4 linked regions of the Arabidopsis thaliana genome follow. The protein of the gene in region 2 interacts with the protein of the main gene of each other region in a pairwise test. Each region holds a gene or a part of one and is shown on either strand. Other genes may lie near its edges.

Region 1 (4,540 bases), on a different chromosome or scaffold from region 2:
AGCTATTTTCAAAGTTTGATATTTTAGGTGGAAAGCTAAGAACTTGAACTCCAAATTTGGCTAAGTGATCGTAAAAACGTGAAATGCTTGACGCATTTCATTGGAAAAATTTGTTGCCTTTCTCATGCTGCAGTTGAGATTTAAGCTGTTTTTATGAACTCTTGTTTAGTGGTTGATGATTGAATGTTGTTCTTAGTGATGGAATTAGTAACTAGATAATGCCAAATTGTTTGGAAGTTAGATATATGTAATAAGGAAGCAATTTACATGACTTTAAGAGACCTGATTCTTTAAGAGGAAAGCTAAGAATTTGAACTGAATTTTGGCAAATTGGTCATCATAGCATTGTTGTAGATGTATATCATAAAGTATTTGCATTTTTCCGTTCTTTCTTTTACTTTTTCTCTAAATTTGTGACAATGGTTTGCATGAGGATATGTTGTGCAGCCAGATAAATTGCCAAACTACGTAGTCCCTGATTTGACTGGCTTTAAGGTTTTTATTCTACCCTAAACTCTTCTGTTACTTTTCTTTGATTCCTCGATATTGAACATGAGAACAAAACAATAGTGAATTCCTTCGGATATCTTTTTACAAGTCGTAAACTTGTAATGGTTTGAAGCTCCTTAGGTTTGTGATCCTGATGATCTTATTCGTTTTAGGTTGTGTTAGGAACCTGAAATGGAATGCTTACTTCTTGCATTAACCTTGTTGTGTTTTGCATGCCACCCTAAATTCTTCTGTTCCTTTCCTTTGATTCCTCTATATAGATAGCCGAGTATGTAACTTGCATCCTAATTGAACATTAGAACAAATTCCCTTTTTAAACCGTTTACATGTCTTACTATTCAAAGCTCCTTAAGCATGTGTGATCCTGACGATTTTTTTTCCGGTCTTAAGTTTTGTGTTAGGAACCTGAAATAGAATGCTAGCTTAATGTATAACGCAAGCTTTGTTGTGTGATCTAGCTTTGCTGATGGAACATTTGTATTTTATAGCTGAAACCATATGTATCTCAGTGCCCTTTAGACGTCAACAAAACAAACGAGTCAACTGAAGCTTCCAAGTGACGAAGTTAGAAGAAACATGTTTTTAACTTTGAAGTCTTCATTAGCTTAAAGTTAAGGACTGTGTTATTCTATCATCCTTAGATATCTTTTGTTACTCAACAACTCCTAGCAAGTTATTTCGAGATTGAGTTAATAAAATAAAAACTTTGAATTGAATCCAATGAATCTTAGATTTCAATATTTCTCCACTTCTCAATTCCCTGTTTGGTAACTGCTACTGAATGTGTGTACCGTTTCTATTGTAACCAACAGGTAAAACGGTAAATTAAAGCGGGACAATGAATAAAAATCCTCAAAAACCCCAAAAAATACTCATACTAATTTTTATTTGCAAGTTTAATACCCAATATTTTTGGATTGGAATCAAAAATACTTCATCTAATATTTATGGTCATAAAATACCTCATATATTTATTATTGGTAGAATGAAACCCGCACAAAATTCATGTTTTTTTTCTCCCGTTTCTCTAATTCTAGCCGACGTAGATGATACTCCCCGCAAGTAACATGTGCCTTATAATGTGATCGCGTTAGTTCCCAGCTTTGTCTAGCCACCAAGAATCATCGTCTATGCCGCCTGCCGTCATAGCTCTAGGGAGGAGCTGAGAGTGAGAAGGACAAGGGAAAAAATGAGAATCTCTGAAGTTGGATTGGGTGTTTTACTGGGATTAGTGGCATTCGATAAGTTAGTAACACCGAATTGTATATATAGATTAAAAAGTATGAGATTCAAATTTAACCCCGTTAAATAGTTCCGTTAACGTCCGTTAAGCCGTAGGTTAATTCTAACAATAATTAATATATGAGGTATTTTATGACAGTAAATAATTAGATAATTTATTTTTATACCAATTCAAAAATATTGGGTATTAAACTTGCAAATAAAAATTAGTATGAGTTTTTTTTGGGATTTTTAACCACAAAAAAAATCTTTGACCTTTTAAAAAACTCTTATTGAAAAAAAAAAAAGGAGTTATATGATGAAACCAAATGGACCCATATGATTGGGAGATTTGGATAACAGAGAATCCACAAAAGTGTATCCTTCACAAAACCAAAACACACTCTCCATTTTCTTCAGACAACTCTTTCTCCTTTCTTCTCTCTTCTCTGTCTCATCACAAACCAGAAATGGGAGGAGTGTCCTTCCTCTCCACTGTTCCTTCCTTCACCAACACAACCAATCATCAACATCTCACTACACTCTCTTCTTCTTCTCATCGCTCTGTGAGTTTCAACCATTGTTACATTCTTTACTTCTAACCCATTTTACATTTCTTCTGCTAACAATTCTTCTTCTGATCAGGCTGTTATACGATGTTCCAAGATTGAACCTCAAGTTTCCGGTGAAAGTTTAGCTTTCCACCGCCGTGATGTTCTCAAACTCGCCGGCACTGCAGTCGGAATGGTACCTTAACACTTGACTCGATCAAAAATTACATACACATTGGTACAAATGAGATATTGTAATGTATAGTCTGTGGCTACATCTTCTTGAAGTTGTCCTCTCTATGTCACATTTGATGAGTTCTTGGCAGTGATGATCTCTCTTGTTAGGAATTAATAGGCAACGGTTTCATTAACAATGTGGGTGATGCAAAAGCTGCTGACTTGAATCAACGTAGACAACGATCCGAGTTTCAATGTGAGTATCTGAAACAAGAACACTAGTGTGGTACCATTAGGTTGTTATTGGCACTAAAGGTTTCACTTTTATATTATGCAGCAAAGATCAAGATTTTGCTTTCAACCACCATTAAGGCTAAACCGGAGCTTGTACCTTCCTTACTCAAACTAGCTCTCAATGATGCTATGACTTATGATAAGGTCAGGCTTCATATAATGCTCTTGTCCATCTCTCTGGTGACCCTTTAATGATACTAGCTTTTTGTCTAGGCTACTAAATCCGGGGGAGCCAATGGATCCATACGGTTCAGGTAGTTATATGATGTAAGAACATTATAAGAGTAATCTTTAGATGATGTCTAATGCATTCTTTTCTTTTTGTGAAGCTCTGAGCTAAGTAGAGCAGAGAATGAGGGACTTTCTGATGGGTTGAGTTTGATAGAGGAAGTGAAGAAGGAGATTGACTCTATCTCGAAGGGAGGTCCTATTTCATATGCAGATATCATTCAATTAGCAGGTAATGTTATAGTATATACCAAAACTTGTTCATGAAGAGTAGCATTATTGTATTTGTGGATAACTGAAATCTTTCTTGGGTTGGTTTCTGTAGGACAATCAGCGGTCAAGTTTACATATTTAGCATCGGCTATCCGAAAATGTGGTGGAAATGAAGAGAAGGGGAACTTACTTTACACAGCATATGGTTCAGCTGGTCAGGTAAACAATGCTATCGTATTCGCTTTTGAGTCGCGGCGTTTTGTTCAAATCGATACTGAACCGTTGTGAATCTGTTAGTGGGGATTGTTTGATAGAAATTTTGGAAGGAGTGATGCAACAGAGGCTGATCCAGAAGGCAGAGTCCCACAATGGGGGAAAGCAACTGTGCAAGAGATGAAAGATAAGTTCATTGCTGTTGGATTGGGTCCTCGTCAGGTACATGATTTTCGGTTTAAACAGAGAATTATCTACTAGGATCACTCGAAGTAACTAACCTGTATGAGGAATTTGTAGCTAGCTGTAATGTCTGCATTCTTGGGTCCTGATCAAGCTGCAACAGAACAGCTCTTAGCTACTGACCCTCAAGTTGCTCCATGGGTTCAGAAGTATCAAAGAAGCCGTGAAACCGTATCTCAGACTGATTACGAGGTTCGTTTTCACTCGATTTGCCTTAATCATATATTCATCTACCTCAAACTCAAGCTCATGTTTTGGTTTATGAATATGTTTGTAGGTTGATCTCATAACTGCATTCACAAAGCTAAGTTGCTTAGGACAGCAAATCAACTTCGAGGCATATACATATCCCGTCGAACGGATCAATCTGAGCAAACTCAAGCTATAAGCTATGTACACTATATGTATAACATGAGAGGAAACTTCGAAATAAACCAAAGATTTTTCTTGACATTGAAACAAAAAGAGAAGTTGAATCCATTACAAACAAAGACACAGAAGATAGGAGTCAAATCACGATAAAATGGAAACAGATAAACGAAAAATAATAGGAATCGAGTTTTCGTATCCACGGTTGAGAAAAGCAGCAAAAAAGGACAAGAATTAGACTGCCTTAGAGAGCTTGGGGATAAAAGGAAATAAGAAACCAACAGAGAAACACCTCCAAGAGAAAAACATATTAATGGAGAGGTTTTAGATACTGAAATGACAACAAAGTTGCGGTAAGACGACTTAGGATTGTTGCTCGTCAGCGGGTTTTGCTGCTGCTGGTGCTGCTTCTTTGATGTCATCAGCAACATCGTCCTGATTGAAAAAAACATTTGACAAGATCATCATAATCAGAATCAGACCACAAGAAAGAAGGATTGAGGAATGTATCAAAATGTAAA
Region 2 (4,990 bases):
AATGACTCTTATGTCTTCTGTCACAGTGTGATTGTGTAATCTTGTGTGTTTATAATAGTAACATTGGAGATCCTCGAGTGTAAAATGTCTTGTACGGGGTTGTAAACTTATATAGTTATATTACAGTGAAAATAGATATTGTACAAGTTATAAAATCCTAACCACTTGGATAATCTACACATCCTTCGATTACTTTTACAATATAGCTGTATCAATTATCTTGCATTTGTGCAATTATTATATTGAATTTCAATTGAACCAATTATAAAATTTATTATGTAATTTAGTATTATATATTTTATCAATTATAAACAATTCATACTTTTTGCTATTATATATATAAAAAAATTTTAATTTTTAATTTTACTAATTGAAAAAGATTATATCTAACCACCTAACGACAACTCCTTTCTCGGATCAAGTTTTTTCTTGGTTCTTCTTTTCTCGGGGTACTTCCTCTCGGATTCTCTATGTCTCTTAACTCGGTCTAACCCGCTAAAGCTTAGCTCACATGCGGGTCATAAAATCCGATTACCTTTTGCGAAGTATGACCGAGAGTTGAAAGAAATTCGGATGTTCCTTAGAAACTCGGACCGTGAGTCCTTCTTTCTCGTTTAACTTGGAGTGTTCAATCGTCGGGTTGGAAGTGAATCGGATGATAATCACCTTCCTTCTCGTCTTTGTCCTCCGTTTTAAGTTTTTTTTCTTCCGTGAATTCTTTTTTTCTCTTCCTCTTTCGCGGGACTTAACATTTCGAGTTATCTCCGATCTAGGCTTCCCGATCTTTCACTTCAGCATACGCTATGATATCGTTTCTAAAGTCACTCATTCGTGCTCTGGACGGAGATGATGACGTCTTCGATTTTGCTTTTGTGGCCTCTTCGGTCACCGAGCTCCCTTATTTTGCTACGAGGACAAAGATTGGGAAGAAGAGAATTGAGGAAGTGATAGATTCAGATCTTCAGGGACTCGCCAAATACGAGGAGAGAGCGATTAAAGCTATCAAGCCGAGAGTGAAAGTTACCATTGAGAAAGACATCACTTTGCTACAGAGGGTAAGTGAATCTTTCTTACATCCACAAGACATGGTTCTATGTGTGTTGTTTCATCTTTCTCTAGACTTTTGTTGCTATTTCGGTTTACAAACTTTTGATTGTGGTTTGATCTTTCTCTAAACATTTTTTGCTGTATTTGGTTAAAGACTTTTGAGAATCTTCAAACAGGGCTTAGGACTTCTTAATTGTGCCTGAATTCTCAGACAAAGAATCCGTGTCTGGTTTGTACAGTTTCAGAGATTTGTTACAAAAACTGATGAATGAGTTGAAGAGGAGAAGAGTTAAGGAGTCTAGTCTAAATAAGTTTTCAAGTTTATTGTAATAGTAAAACCTCTATAAATTAATACTCGATAAATTAATAATCTATATAAGATTAATAATTTTTTCCAGTCCCGAGTTGGGACTGTAAAAAGTGACACAAATTGATAAATTAATAAAATAATAATTTTTTTGAAAATCCTATGTAAATATATGATCCCATCAATATTATAAATTAGTAATTGTATAAATATAAAATATATATATATCTAATATATTATATGTAAGAAATTTCTAATATTTTTTTGCTTAAACTCGTATTTGTTCTTATTTGAATTTAGTTATAATATTTTACTGTATCAAAACTTTTGATATTGTTTTATAGACATGATAATTATTTTTTACTTGCAATTGGTTTTAGAAAGATATTCTCTATGATGAAAAATATCTTGTAGAAACTTTTAAAAAGTTACTACATTAGAAAACTCTCTATGTAAATTAATAAATTATTTATTAATTTATTCCTTAATTTGTAGATTTCTGTTTGGAAAGAAATTGCTAAAAATTAATATAAAAGCCCAATGGGCCGTGTAATAAGTAGACCCAAAGTTATTCGGTACAGTAGTGACGACCGGTTAATCTTCGCCCGCGCTATCGTCATTGCAAAAATCTCGAACCAGATTCGGACATCTCGTCGAAAATGGCGTGCTCAATTGGTAACGCTTTCAGGTGTTCTTCTGATACGCTGCGTTTTGCTCCCCGACAACAATGCAGCAGCCGCCTAAACCCTAATCCTTCCTCTTTCCTCTCCTTTAATTCCTCCCCAATTCTCGCACAGGTATCGAGTATATATATATATTTATTCTAATGTCCAAAGCACACTTTTCCAGTAACGCCTTTTGCATATTCAAACTGAATTTTGATTTTCGAATTTCTGGATTATTTTAAAGAATTTGGGTGCTTCTTCTTCGTCACTTTCCCGACGGACTATACGAGCTAGAACAAAAATGGCTGCGTCGGAGGCTTCCATTAACGGGAGCAACAGGATGCTGGTAATAAAACTCTAGGATTTCAATTTTCAGATTTTTTTTGAGTTTGATTTGAAAGTGAAAGATGTGAATTTGATTCTGGTGTTTCAGGTCTTTGTGCCACCACATCCTTTGATCAAACACTGGATCTCTGTTCTGAGAAATGAACAAACTCCTTGTCCTGTTTTCAGTGAGTAGATAAGATTCTTATGAGTATTTCTGCGATTTAACCAGTGTTTGTTGTTAAAGAACTGAATTTTACATCCATTTTTTTTTTTTTTTTTTTTGATTCGTTGGACAATCTTTAGCTCTTAGATTGGTGTTATCTGCTACATTGCGTTTGAATATGAGTTTTTTTAGGTTTGCTACTAGTATAAGTCTGTGTTGATCTTTAAAGCTTGAGTTTTTTTAATTATCTAGGGAATGCAATAGCTGAACTAGGGAGATTACTCATGTATGAAGCATCACGAGAGTGGCTGGTGCGTAGAATTTCACATCTCTATTATTCTTGAATTCTTCCTACCCGTTTTTTGCTTATTGTTTTTTGTTTTTTGCTCTATGCGGTTAAGCCAACTGTTGTGGGTGAAATAATGTCTCCAATGGGTCCTGCTTCTGTTGAATTCATTGATCCTAGAGAGCCTATTGCGGTTTGTTTATCCCTCAAACTCTTCCTGTCTATATTTTCTTTTCGACCTTACATGTAAGCGTTTCTAATTCTTGGTTTTGTCTCTGTGTAGGTTGTTCCGATATTAAGAGCTGGTCTTGCTCTTGCGGAACACGCATCCTCAGTTTTACCTGCTAATAAAATTTATCATTTAGGTTAGTAATCTAGCTATATATCATCTCTTGCCTGAACTTCGGATGTCAAAAATGAAAACTTTTATCAAATAGCTTATTGATGTCCCCGTGCTTCTTTTCTTTTACAGGAGTAAGTAGAGATGAGAAAACACTTTTACCATCGGTGTATCTTAACAAGTAAGAACTTCTCTGCAGCATTGTGTTTGTAGTTACTGAAGTGTTTATAATAACACCTTTGATACATCTTCTTTAGGTTGCCTGATGAATTTCCCAAGAATTCAAGAGTATTTTTGGTCGACCCAGTGCTTGCCACAGGTAAGAAAGTCTTATCATTTTAGCCACCTCCATATTAGAAGTATAGTTAGGGTTTGATGTTCAAATGTACACGATAATATGTGAATGTGAACGCATGACATGGTAATACGAATGTTTCATAGCTAGAAGCGTAGGTTTAGTAACTTAGTAACTTGTATTTTAGGTGGTACCATAATGGCGGCGATGGATCTATTGAAGGAACGTGGTTTGTCTGTTCAGCAAATCAAAGTGGTAAGCATATATATAGGAAACAGCTTTTGTCAGAAATCGAAGTGTTAATTGTTTTGATTTTTCTGATTACAGATTTGTGCGATTGCTGCACCTCCTGCACTATCGAAGCTTAACGAGAAATTCCCCGGGTAATCAATAGCAAAAGATCAACTCTCACCTTGCTTACCATTTAGTTAACTCTCTTTTTACTAAACTGTTTGGCTACTATTTGAAACATTTCAGGCTTCATGTATATGCTGGAATTATTGATCCTGAAGTCAATGAAAAGGGGTAAGTCATTAGGTTCTTTGGCTTTCCATATGAAAACTGGCGATTGTATTTTAATGTCCTTATGTATTTGTCATGAACTAGGTACATAATCCCTGGGCTTGGAGACGCTGGAGACCGCAGTTTCGGGACAGAAACACATTGGGTGAAGTGATACTTGTATGAGTTGTTAAACTTTAACAGTCACAATCGTTAGATTATATATTGTGTCTCTTGTACTTTGTTTTTGATGTGTGATTTCAGGTTCTTGAGAGGGTTTCGATAAAGAGTCAAAATTTCACAAACAAGAAAAACTGAATTCCTCATTATTACAAAACAGAGAACAAACTTGTCAACCATTTTATGTGTATCATTCTCAATTGTCTACCACAAACCATTTTGGGAAAAAGTATGCAAGAAAATCTGAAAAATTCATCCATGAAGCAAACATTTGAACCAATAATAAAAGTTTGTTATCAAATTGAATGAACTTAAGTTACTACCAAACTGAACCAGTATTTATGGTTTGGTTACGTTCGATTCCGGTTACAATTAACTGTCGGTACAATTCTGGTTGAAAAAGTTTAGTATTTCGGTTTGATTTAATTTTGTATACCGCTCTAATTGGATCGGTTTTTATTGCTCTTCAATTAAAAGTTGAAGGGTATAGTAGTCATTCCTATGAAATAAGCAAACCCTAGCTCGCTACTATAAATCTAATAAACCTATGAATTAAGCAAACCCTATCTTTGTCGCCGCCAAACCTCTCTCAGATTCTTCTTCTTCCTCGCAGGTGAGAATTTCTCCGTAGTATCTTAATCTCCTTTCACTGTATTGCTAATTAACGCATCGGAATAATCTAGGTTTCGATTTCAGAATTAGTTATCTCGTTGTGTCTTTTGTTGATTATATATTATTGTTGAATGTGATCAATTATTCTTGATGAATCTCTTAATTCGAGGTTCTATTGCTCATCTGATTAGTTTTTTTGTTTGTTTACTTGCTCAGATCGATTTTTTTTTGAAGCTAAATCTCAAAAATGGAGAACGACGCAGGTCA
Region 3 (4,028 bases), on a different chromosome or scaffold from region 2:
TTTTTCCTTAGGAACCATATATGCAACCAATAATCCAAAACAAATGAGGTAAAAAAAAAGGTATTGAATTATGATTTATTTCTTGATTTTTCCTTGTGAATTGTCATTTAGAAACTATCTTCTATGATTTTGCCTAATTTTTGTAAACCAAATATTTAATGATATTTTTAAAATATATTTTTCTGAATATGCATGCTCTTAACTCATAAATCTTATATATCAAATTAGAGGGAATATATCAAGTTCTATTTGGAAAAAAAAAACACTAAAAATTACAAAAGTGCATTAACATCAATAAATGATCGTTTGGTAATAGTATTTTTTAGTTAAGACTTACAACGACTTAAAACTTCATAGTATAGGTTTGTAAACTTCCTTAAGTCGTTCTCGCCAACAACATCAACCGTTTTTTTTGTTCAGTCATAATTTTGTTTTAAAGCTTCTTTCGTGTCATGTACCATTAAATAACATCAATTAATACACATAGAGAGTACGTATATGCTTTTAGCTAGTCAACAATCTCTCATTCTTTTGTTTACATAGTCATATTAAAAAATTCCAATAGCATCATGACGCGAAGATTAAAGAACCACCACTATGGACCTATGGTAAAAACCTTAAATAAAAATGATCATGAATTAGAAATATAATATCGAAACGCACAAATAGGCAATATATGCTCTCAACGTTCCTTCATCGTTGAACCAGCATTAAATATATATAATAAACCCATGGTTTTTGAGCCAACCAAAATGTAAAGTATCTAAAGATCACAAAGGCAAACACATACAAATATTGTAGTTAAATACTACTACACAAAAACAAAAAGACAAACATTCTAATTTACAGTACAATGTTTATTTATTTCAATAATTTCGTGGAGTAGTAATACTGAAAATCTGAAAGTCCCTTAATGTCGTCTCTTTCTACCTTCCCAAGCTCTATATTTCCATTAAGAACAAACAAAGCTTTGATACTTATTTATTTTTCCAACCAGAGCAAAAGCTTTGTAATAGACTACCTCAAATTGCTTGCTTATATTCATCTATATATTTATTTATATAGACCATTATATATAGAAATGGCTCACTGAGTCAGTAAGGTGGTCTTGCGTGGACCCATGTATATGGTTCGTGCCCTAGCTGACCAGCCCCATTTGGAATCAGATGCGGCGGCATATTGTAGCCTGGCCCGGCCATCCCTGATAGATCAGGCAGGTTACTACCGATTCTGGGCGGTGAGTCACCGCCTCCGTGAATCTGTCTTGAGCCGCCACCGTCTTCCTCTTCTTCCATGGGCAATCTCTCATAAGTAGCGTTAGAGAAAGTAGCAGCAATCACCATGACCGACCCTATGGCTAAGAGTGGGCCTACAACGCTACCTCCAACGACCTGACCCTGGACCCCGGCTAAGTAAACCGTTAAACCGGTTGACCCGGGTGGGGAAGGTCCAGGGAGGAAAGCACCGGTTAAAGATAAGATTTCAAACCTGCCTTGGAGAGAGACCACACCTCCTGGTGCGGCGGCTTGGCGGAGGGTGACGTTAGCGACTGAGCCTGTCCCGCTGAGAACGCAAACGCCGCGTTGCCTGCGTCTTGAGAAGTGAGCGATTGTGTCGGCGACGTCACTGCCGTCGGAGATCTCCAAGACATGGCTACGGAGTGCGTTGGGGCTGTCTCTTGTCACAAAGATTGGAGCTTTGGGTTTGTTTTTGGATCCTGGTGGTCTACCTCTTGGTCTACGGTTGACCACCTCAACGGCTCCTTCTCTAGGATCATCTTCTTCGTCTTGGTCGTTGTCTTGGCTCTGATTCATGGCTATTCCAAGATCTCCTTTGGTAAGAAGACTTTGGTGGTGATGGTTTTGGTGATGGCCTGAGGAGACCGAATGGTCCACCATGCCCGCTAAACCACTCTGGTTCGTCCACCAAGGGTTTGCCATGATTGACCAAAAACTGGAAATTCGCTAAAAAGAAAGATCAAGAAATTGTTACCCTGATGATTTGCTTGAAAGGCCTCTAGGGTTCCAACTTTACAAGGTCAAAAGGTGTATATGTAGCTCTTTCTTGAAAAATATTATCTTTTCGTTTCGATTTCTCTAATTTCATATGAATTTTAGGAGTTGTTGATGACAAATAAAGAAGAAAAGGCTACGGTAGGAGAATTAGATGCAATTGTGGAATGGAACTAGAATCAAAACAAAGCTATTGAGACTTTGATTTTCTTTTCAAGAATCAATCAGAGAGAGAGAGAGAGAGAAAGTGGGCAATAATTAATTTTTCACAAGTTAGTATTATTTATATAGGGTTTATATAGAATCCAAGAACGCAATACTATGTGTGTACTCTCTTTTTATTAATATATAAAATATACTGGACAATTTTTATATGAGTCTATTTTAAATAACAGTGGGATTGAATACCGATTATGCCAAAGTCCTAAGCTCCATAACGTATTTAATGAATTCATCTTATAATTTTCTGCCAGAACTTTAATTATACACTCATATTACTGAGGTTGCCTAGACAAGTCTTGGGTTTCACATGGTGTAATATTTTAGGAAAGATCGGTTTATGGGGAAAACTATTTTAGAAAACATATTCTTGTTTACTCTGATACAATTTGTAAAACCCCAAGACCAAAAGAGATAAATGTATTGTGTTGGAATGTTGTGGCATGGGGAACTAGCCAGATCATTTTCTTCTTTCACTAGAGTAGTAAATATTAGTATCATATGTTTTGCAGTTTATACATACAATAAGTGTAGTTATCTTTAAATAAATGAAGAAATAAATGAAATGTAATTGATAGATTAGCATTGGAAATTAGGGTTAAGTGGGGCATAGTGCGCGTGAGCATTGGGGTGGTGGGGAGCACGTCATTTTCCCTTGCCCCGACGTCTCCACTCTCGACAACTCTTTTACCCTATTTCTATAATAAGATATGACTGATATTGATACGTTTGAATATAGAATCCAAAAAAAGAATAGTTAATCCAAAGTATCCAATCTAATTTACAAAAAAAAAAAAAAAAAATTTCTAATCTAAAACAAGTACTTTGTACACTTGAATATTTTGAATTTTCACCTAATAATTAAGTAGCTAACGGTTAAAACGAGTCAAACTTAGACCATCTATATAATGTATTCCTCTATTTCGTTTTTTTAAGAGTCAATAATCTGTAGCTTTAGTTATTATTATTATTTTAACTCATAACCTATGTTAAAAACAATATATATATAACATCAATATTTTAAGCCACAATTTACCGCTACAATCTCAACTAATCATCCCGTAAACCACAATTGAAACCATATGGAAAATTCTTGAACCATGTTCTAAATCCATAAGGTTTTTCTAAGCTAGTAGTTACAAGGCTGAATCTACAAGTTTAGTAACTTATCTTTGTCTAACTGGCTTTTAGAGGTATTTCATCTCAAAAACTCTTTGACACTCTAGTTAGAATTGAGATAATGTGAGTTGCCGGAAATTGAGAAAACTATGAGGAAAGAAGATAGATTTAGTTTTGGACCTAAGGCAAATATCTAGTTTTCATTAGCTTAGAAAAGATGTTAATGGAAGAGCATACAAGAAAATATTTGGGAGTTGGTACTCTTCAGCAGACGAATGTGACTATGCAGAGATTTTGACGAAGTATACGAACATAAAAGAGATTTTGAATCAATGTAGGCAGGACCGACTCAAAAATAGCAAAAAGACACAATGGTCTTTGTTCAAATTTGAAATATGGATCCTAATTACATAGAAATGTTTTTTTAAGAAAAACATTTGGTCCTTTAATACGCTAAATTTCATGTTTGTTTGAACATGGATCTCGTGCAAATGTATTCCTTGATAACGTCCGATACATCGGAGATTCAAGATTGGAGAAGAGAGACGAAGAAGAAGATAACAACTTTTCTTATTCAGCTTAAAGTGTTGTTACAACCAACTTAACTAACAAAGTAATCGAGATTAAACTTATAGACATAAGATTATTGTGGTTAGTAAACCACATTCAACCAAACCA
Region 4 (3,820 bases), on a different chromosome or scaffold from region 2:
ATCTCTCTCGTCTTCTTCGTTGCTTTTTAAGTGAACAGAGAGAGCCGTTGTATATATGAGTCGTTCTTAGGCCAGACCAACGAATCACACCAAAGATTAGGGTGAATCCAACAAGCAGATGCAACAACACATGAATAATGAAATCTCAAAAAGGAAGAAGAAGAGAACAGAGAGGCAAACGAAGCAGACAGAAATCGAAGAAGAGAATTGAAAAAAATGCAGAGCAATTGTGTTTTTAACTTGAGAGGAGACGCGAGACGCAGGTATATAAATTTATTTGTTTGACATTCAAGTTTCCTTTTTTCCTTTTCACTTAGGGTTTGTTATAGTCCAGAGCAAACACAAACCTTAGGTTCGGTGATAATCTAGCCGTTATACACGGTTCGGGTCAAATACTTTCCATTTATTAGCTGATACGCTCCTACTAATTTTTGGTTTAGATACTGATTGTATTTTGATTGTATTACACGTTGACTTTTATTGTTTTAAAGAACAAGGCTAAGAAGAACAGATAATAAGAAAGTGGGTTCTATCCTTAAAAACCAACAAGAACCCTATCTTAAAAACCTAAGGAGTGTGGTTTCATTTATTTCTGGATTGAATCAGTTGAATAATGAAAACAATAATAGACATAAGCAGAGTGGATCCTGCAAAACATGGTAAACGAAACTTTTTTCTTCTCTTCTTTCTTGGTTTATCTTCGATTTCTTCTTCTTTTTTCCCCTCATGATCTCTTGTTCCTTCCTCAACAACCTCTTCTTCCTCTTCTCTCTGTGGCTCTTCTGCTTCTTCGTTTTCTTCCTCAGGTTTTGTCTCTTCTTTGATTTCTTCTTCTGGTTCTGTTTTCTCCTCTGTTTTCTCTTCTACTATCGGCTCTTTCATCTCCTCTTCTTCGTCCTCTTCCTCGATCTTCAGACCGGTAATTCCCTTAACTTTCTTAGGCATTGTAACAGTTAAAGTCCCATCTTCTTCATTAAACCTCGCTTTGATCTTGTCAAGAATTACAATATCTGGAATCCGAAACACTTTTTTGAATTCCTTTATTTCTGTTTCCTTTTTCCATTCCACCCACTTTACCAAAACCATCTCTTCAACCTGTTTTCTTCCGCTGATCTTAATCAGATTCCCTTCTTTGTTTATCTCGATATCGATACCATCCTTCTTAAATCCTGCATTTGGTTTTCAATCTCAATCTCTATGCTAGGTAAGAAAAAAAGGTGAATAAATATGAGAGGGAATAGAACCTTTGAGATGAAGAATGAGGAAGAAAACAGAGTTGGTTTCTCGAGAAAGTGAACGATGACCAAAAGAATCTCTGGCAACCCGAAAATCTGTAGAGGAAGAAACATCGTCTTTAGTCCGAGTGATCTTCAGACCTAATTCAAGCTCCATCTTTTTTAGTTGTGAGCTTCTTTTGATACATCTGTTTTTAGTTTTTGCTAAAGTCTCTCTCTAGTCCACACTTTTCTAGTTTTGTTTAAATTAGGCTATTTCATATCGTTTCTTTGAAGAGGCCCACAAGAACATATTCGTAACTTCCATCTTCAGGAAACTCAAAAACGGAGTCGTGAGTTTTGTCTTTTGTTACCCTCAACGGTTTTAACTGTCCCAGTTGCGTTGGCGGGAAGTAACAGCTATCTTTATAGTACTAGTTGATAATGATAACCCTTTGCGATTGCATTTACAATGAGATCTGTCATGTCATATGATTGAGCCTGAAGATTGTGAGCAAAAAGTTAAATTGAAGAGTGATCGGTGTTTGGGAACGGGCCTATAACATGTGGGCCTAGAACATGTTTGTGGGCCTATAACAAAAAAGATACGGTGTACTTGACCGTAGTGGATCATCATTGTCTTTCTAGTACCTTGTGTCATTTTCTTTCAGAGTTCGTTCTCTCTTTTTGGTCAATTCGAGTTTTTTTTCCACAAGTGTCCAACTTTTTTTGTCATCATCAACCTAACCAACCGCCAACGCCGAATCAAGAGATCGTTTGTTTTTTTCTGATTCTTTCATGGCGTCAATTTCTCTCTCTTCTTCTACGGTTCCGTCGCTGAATTCGAAAGAATCGTCAGGTGTTTCTGCTTTCGCTTCTCGTTCTATCTCGGCCGTCAAATTTCAGTTTCCGGTTCGTCGGGTTCGAACCGGAGACTTAAAGTTTCCATCTTTATCTTCAACGACTCGATGCACTCCTCGACGTGTAATCGCCTTTCTCTGCTTAAACATCTTTTTCCAAAGCTTATATTTTGTTCAATTCTAGCTTACTTAATTTTACCCTATGAATTATTGAATTCAAGCTTCAAACTTTCTTCTGATGGTAGAGCTGATGATAGCTTTCCTATTTTGAAATTTTTCTTATTTTAGTTTCTATAGCTGATTTTCTCTAGAGTTTGGAATTGATTTAAAGTGAGTGCCTTTATCTACTTCTTGATTTAGATTGAACTAAATGACAAACCATTCTTGTTCATACTTCAGATTGAAGCCAAGAAGCAGACATTTGACTCATTTGAGGATCTGCTTGTGAACTCTGATAAACCAGTTCTAGTTGACTATTATGCAACCTGGTGAGTTTGTTTTGGTGTCAAATGATAACATGTGTTAGTTGAGTGGTCATCAACCAGTTCTAGTTGACTATTATTCATCATGAATGAGTATACTTGGTCTATGTTGGGATCCAGTGTAGTCTGTTTGCTTATTATCGAGTTTATTTGTTAAACAGATGATTTGGAATCAGAATGTACTGTTTGTTTGGCAGGTGTGGTCCTTGCCAGTTCATGGTTCCAATACTCAATGAAGTGAGTGAAACCCTGAAAGACAAGATACAGGTGGTGAAGATTGATACCGAAAAATACCCCAGTATTGCTAATAAATACAAGATTGAGGCACTTCCTACTTTCATCCTATTCAAAGATGGGGAACCTTGTGATCGCTTTGTATGATGACTTCAATGCCTTTGAATTTCTTCATTTTCGTTTTAAGGTTCTTAATCTCACTCACAAACGTTTCTTTTTTTGTGATTTCCAGGAGGGTGCTTTGACGGCCAAACAACTCATTCAACGAATTGAGGATTCTCTAAAAGTGAAGCCATAGTTGGATCATGAACTCTTTTTTAATTATTTGTATGTTTTTCAACTGTCCCTGACCTATTCAGGACTTAGTGATAGCGATGTTTTTCGGTTGATTTAACTTGGAGAATTTGAGAAGAAGAAGATTATGTTTGCCAGATTTGTAAAACCTTGTTGTGAGTAATGATGATCTTTTATTCTCAAAAGTAATAACAGAGACGCTATTTTTCAAGCATTCGTCACCAGTTACATAAAGATTAAAATTCTCTTAGCAAAAGAAAACATAGCAGGAGTGTAAAGATGAATACTAAGACTCAAGGGTTAGAAGGAGAAGCAGAAGATCTAACAACGGTAGTCTTGAAATTCACGGAGAGAGGCAGTGTTGAGGAGGCAAGAGCATGGTCTTCACCATTGTTGTCAGAGTCATTGCCATCACAGTAACCTTGGAGCATATCACCTTCTTGAGCAGTAAAACCAAGAACACCAATCATAGTAGGCCAACACTTGCGTCCAATGGTTCTTATAGCACTGCAACACCCAGGGCCAATGTAAGTCTCACCGTTGAGGAAGAACAAGATCAGCTCTCCAGAACAGTGTTGGAGCTGCATCAGTGAGTCCCAGCAGTACCCTGTATCTTCATCAAGCTTGAGCCTGTACACAAGGCTTGTGGTAGGAGAAGACGTCCCCATGGATGGTTTCATGAGAGGGCGAGCTGTCACTGTGGAGGAAGCCACCATGAGCATGAGAGTCACAATGT

The links.
Region 1: the proteins of UPP (region 2) and TL29 interact in a two-hybrid assay, tested with the Arabidopsis thaliana proteins (one large-scale study listed by BioGRID).
Region 3: the proteins of UPP (region 2) and AHL20 interact in a two-hybrid assay, tested with the Arabidopsis thaliana proteins (one large-scale study listed by BioGRID).
Region 4: the proteins of UPP (region 2) and TY1 interact in a two-hybrid assay, tested with the Arabidopsis thaliana proteins (one large-scale study listed by BioGRID).

The regions. Positions count from the first base shown.
Region 1 is NC_003075.7:5,777,000-5,781,539, reverse strand, and holds TL29 (ascorbate peroxidase 4), read left to right. Parts: upstream 1-1,967; 5' UTR 1,968-2,060; coding exon 2,061-2,297; exon of another isoform or gene 2,298-2,376; coding exon 2,377-2,478; exon of another isoform or gene 2,479-2,627; coding exon 2,628-2,715; intron 2,716-2,796; coding exon 2,797-2,897; intron 2,898-2,966; coding exon 2,967-3,007; intron 3,008-3,082; coding exon 3,083-3,213; intron 3,214-3,306; coding exon 3,307-3,413; intron 3,414-3,491; coding exon 3,492-3,629; intron 3,630-3,707; coding exon 3,708-3,842; intron 3,843-3,927; coding exon 3,928-4,038; downstream 4,039-4,540. Other genes in the region: AT4G09012 (Mitochondrial ribosomal protein L27), read left to right, coding at 448-455; GRF1 (general regulatory factor 1), read right to left, coding at 4,383-4,540.
Region 2 is NC_003074.8:19,956,030-19,961,019, reverse strand, and holds UPP (uracil phosphoribosyltransferase), read left to right. Parts: upstream 1-1,944; 5' UTR 1,945-2,013; coding exon 2,014-2,151; intron 2,152-2,170; exon of another isoform or gene 2,171-2,263; coding exon 2,264-2,365; intron 2,366-2,452; coding exon 2,453-2,531; intron 2,532-2,761; coding exon 2,762-2,820; intron 2,821-2,910; coding exon 2,911-2,988; intron 2,989-3,078; coding exon 3,079-3,160; intron 3,161-3,267; coding exon 3,268-3,316; intron 3,317-3,392; coding exon 3,393-3,454; intron 3,455-3,617; coding exon 3,618-3,685; intron 3,686-3,757; coding exon 3,758-3,813; intron 3,814-3,907; coding exon 3,908-3,955; intron 3,956-4,036; coding exon 4,037-4,106; 3' UTR 4,107-4,430; downstream 4,431-4,990. Other genes in the region: AT3G53910 (malate dehydrogenase-like protein), read left to right, coding at 574-595, 796-1,055, 1,120-1,164; AT3G53890 (Ribosomal protein S21e), read left to right, coding at 4,971-4,990. UniProt on the Arabidopsis thaliana protein: Uracil phosphoribosyltransferase (UPRT) that catalyzes the conversion of uracil and 5-phospho-alpha-D-ribose 1-diphosphate (PRPP) to UMP and diphosphate.
Region 3 is NC_003075.7:8,318,884-8,322,911, reverse strand, and holds AHL20 (AT-hook motif nuclear-localized protein 20), read right to left. Parts: upstream 2,375-4,028; 5' UTR 1,941-2,374; coding exon 1,095-1,940; 3' UTR 560-1,094; downstream 1-559. UniProt on the Arabidopsis thaliana protein: Transcription factor that specifically binds AT-rich DNA sequences related to the nuclear matrix attachment regions (MARs).
Region 4 is NC_003070.9:28,811,141-28,814,960, reverse strand, and holds TY1 (thioredoxin Y1), read left to right. Parts: upstream 1-1,796; 5' UTR 1,797-2,012; coding exon 2,013-2,198; exon of another isoform or gene 2,199-2,473; coding exon 2,474-2,562; intron 2,563-2,753; coding exon 2,754-2,931; intron 2,932-3,022; coding exon 3,023-3,088; 3' UTR 3,089-3,276; downstream 3,277-3,820. Other genes in the region: AT1G76770 (HSP20-like chaperones superfamily protein), read right to left, coding at 583-1,169, 1,245-1,392; EC1.1 (egg cell-secreted-like protein (DUF1278)), read right to left, coding at 3,378-3,820. UniProt on the Arabidopsis thaliana protein: Thiol-disulfide oxidoreductase that poorly activates chloroplastic malate dehydrogenase (NADP-MDH) and fructose-1,6-bisphosphatase. Provides reducing equivalents for peroxiredoxin Q.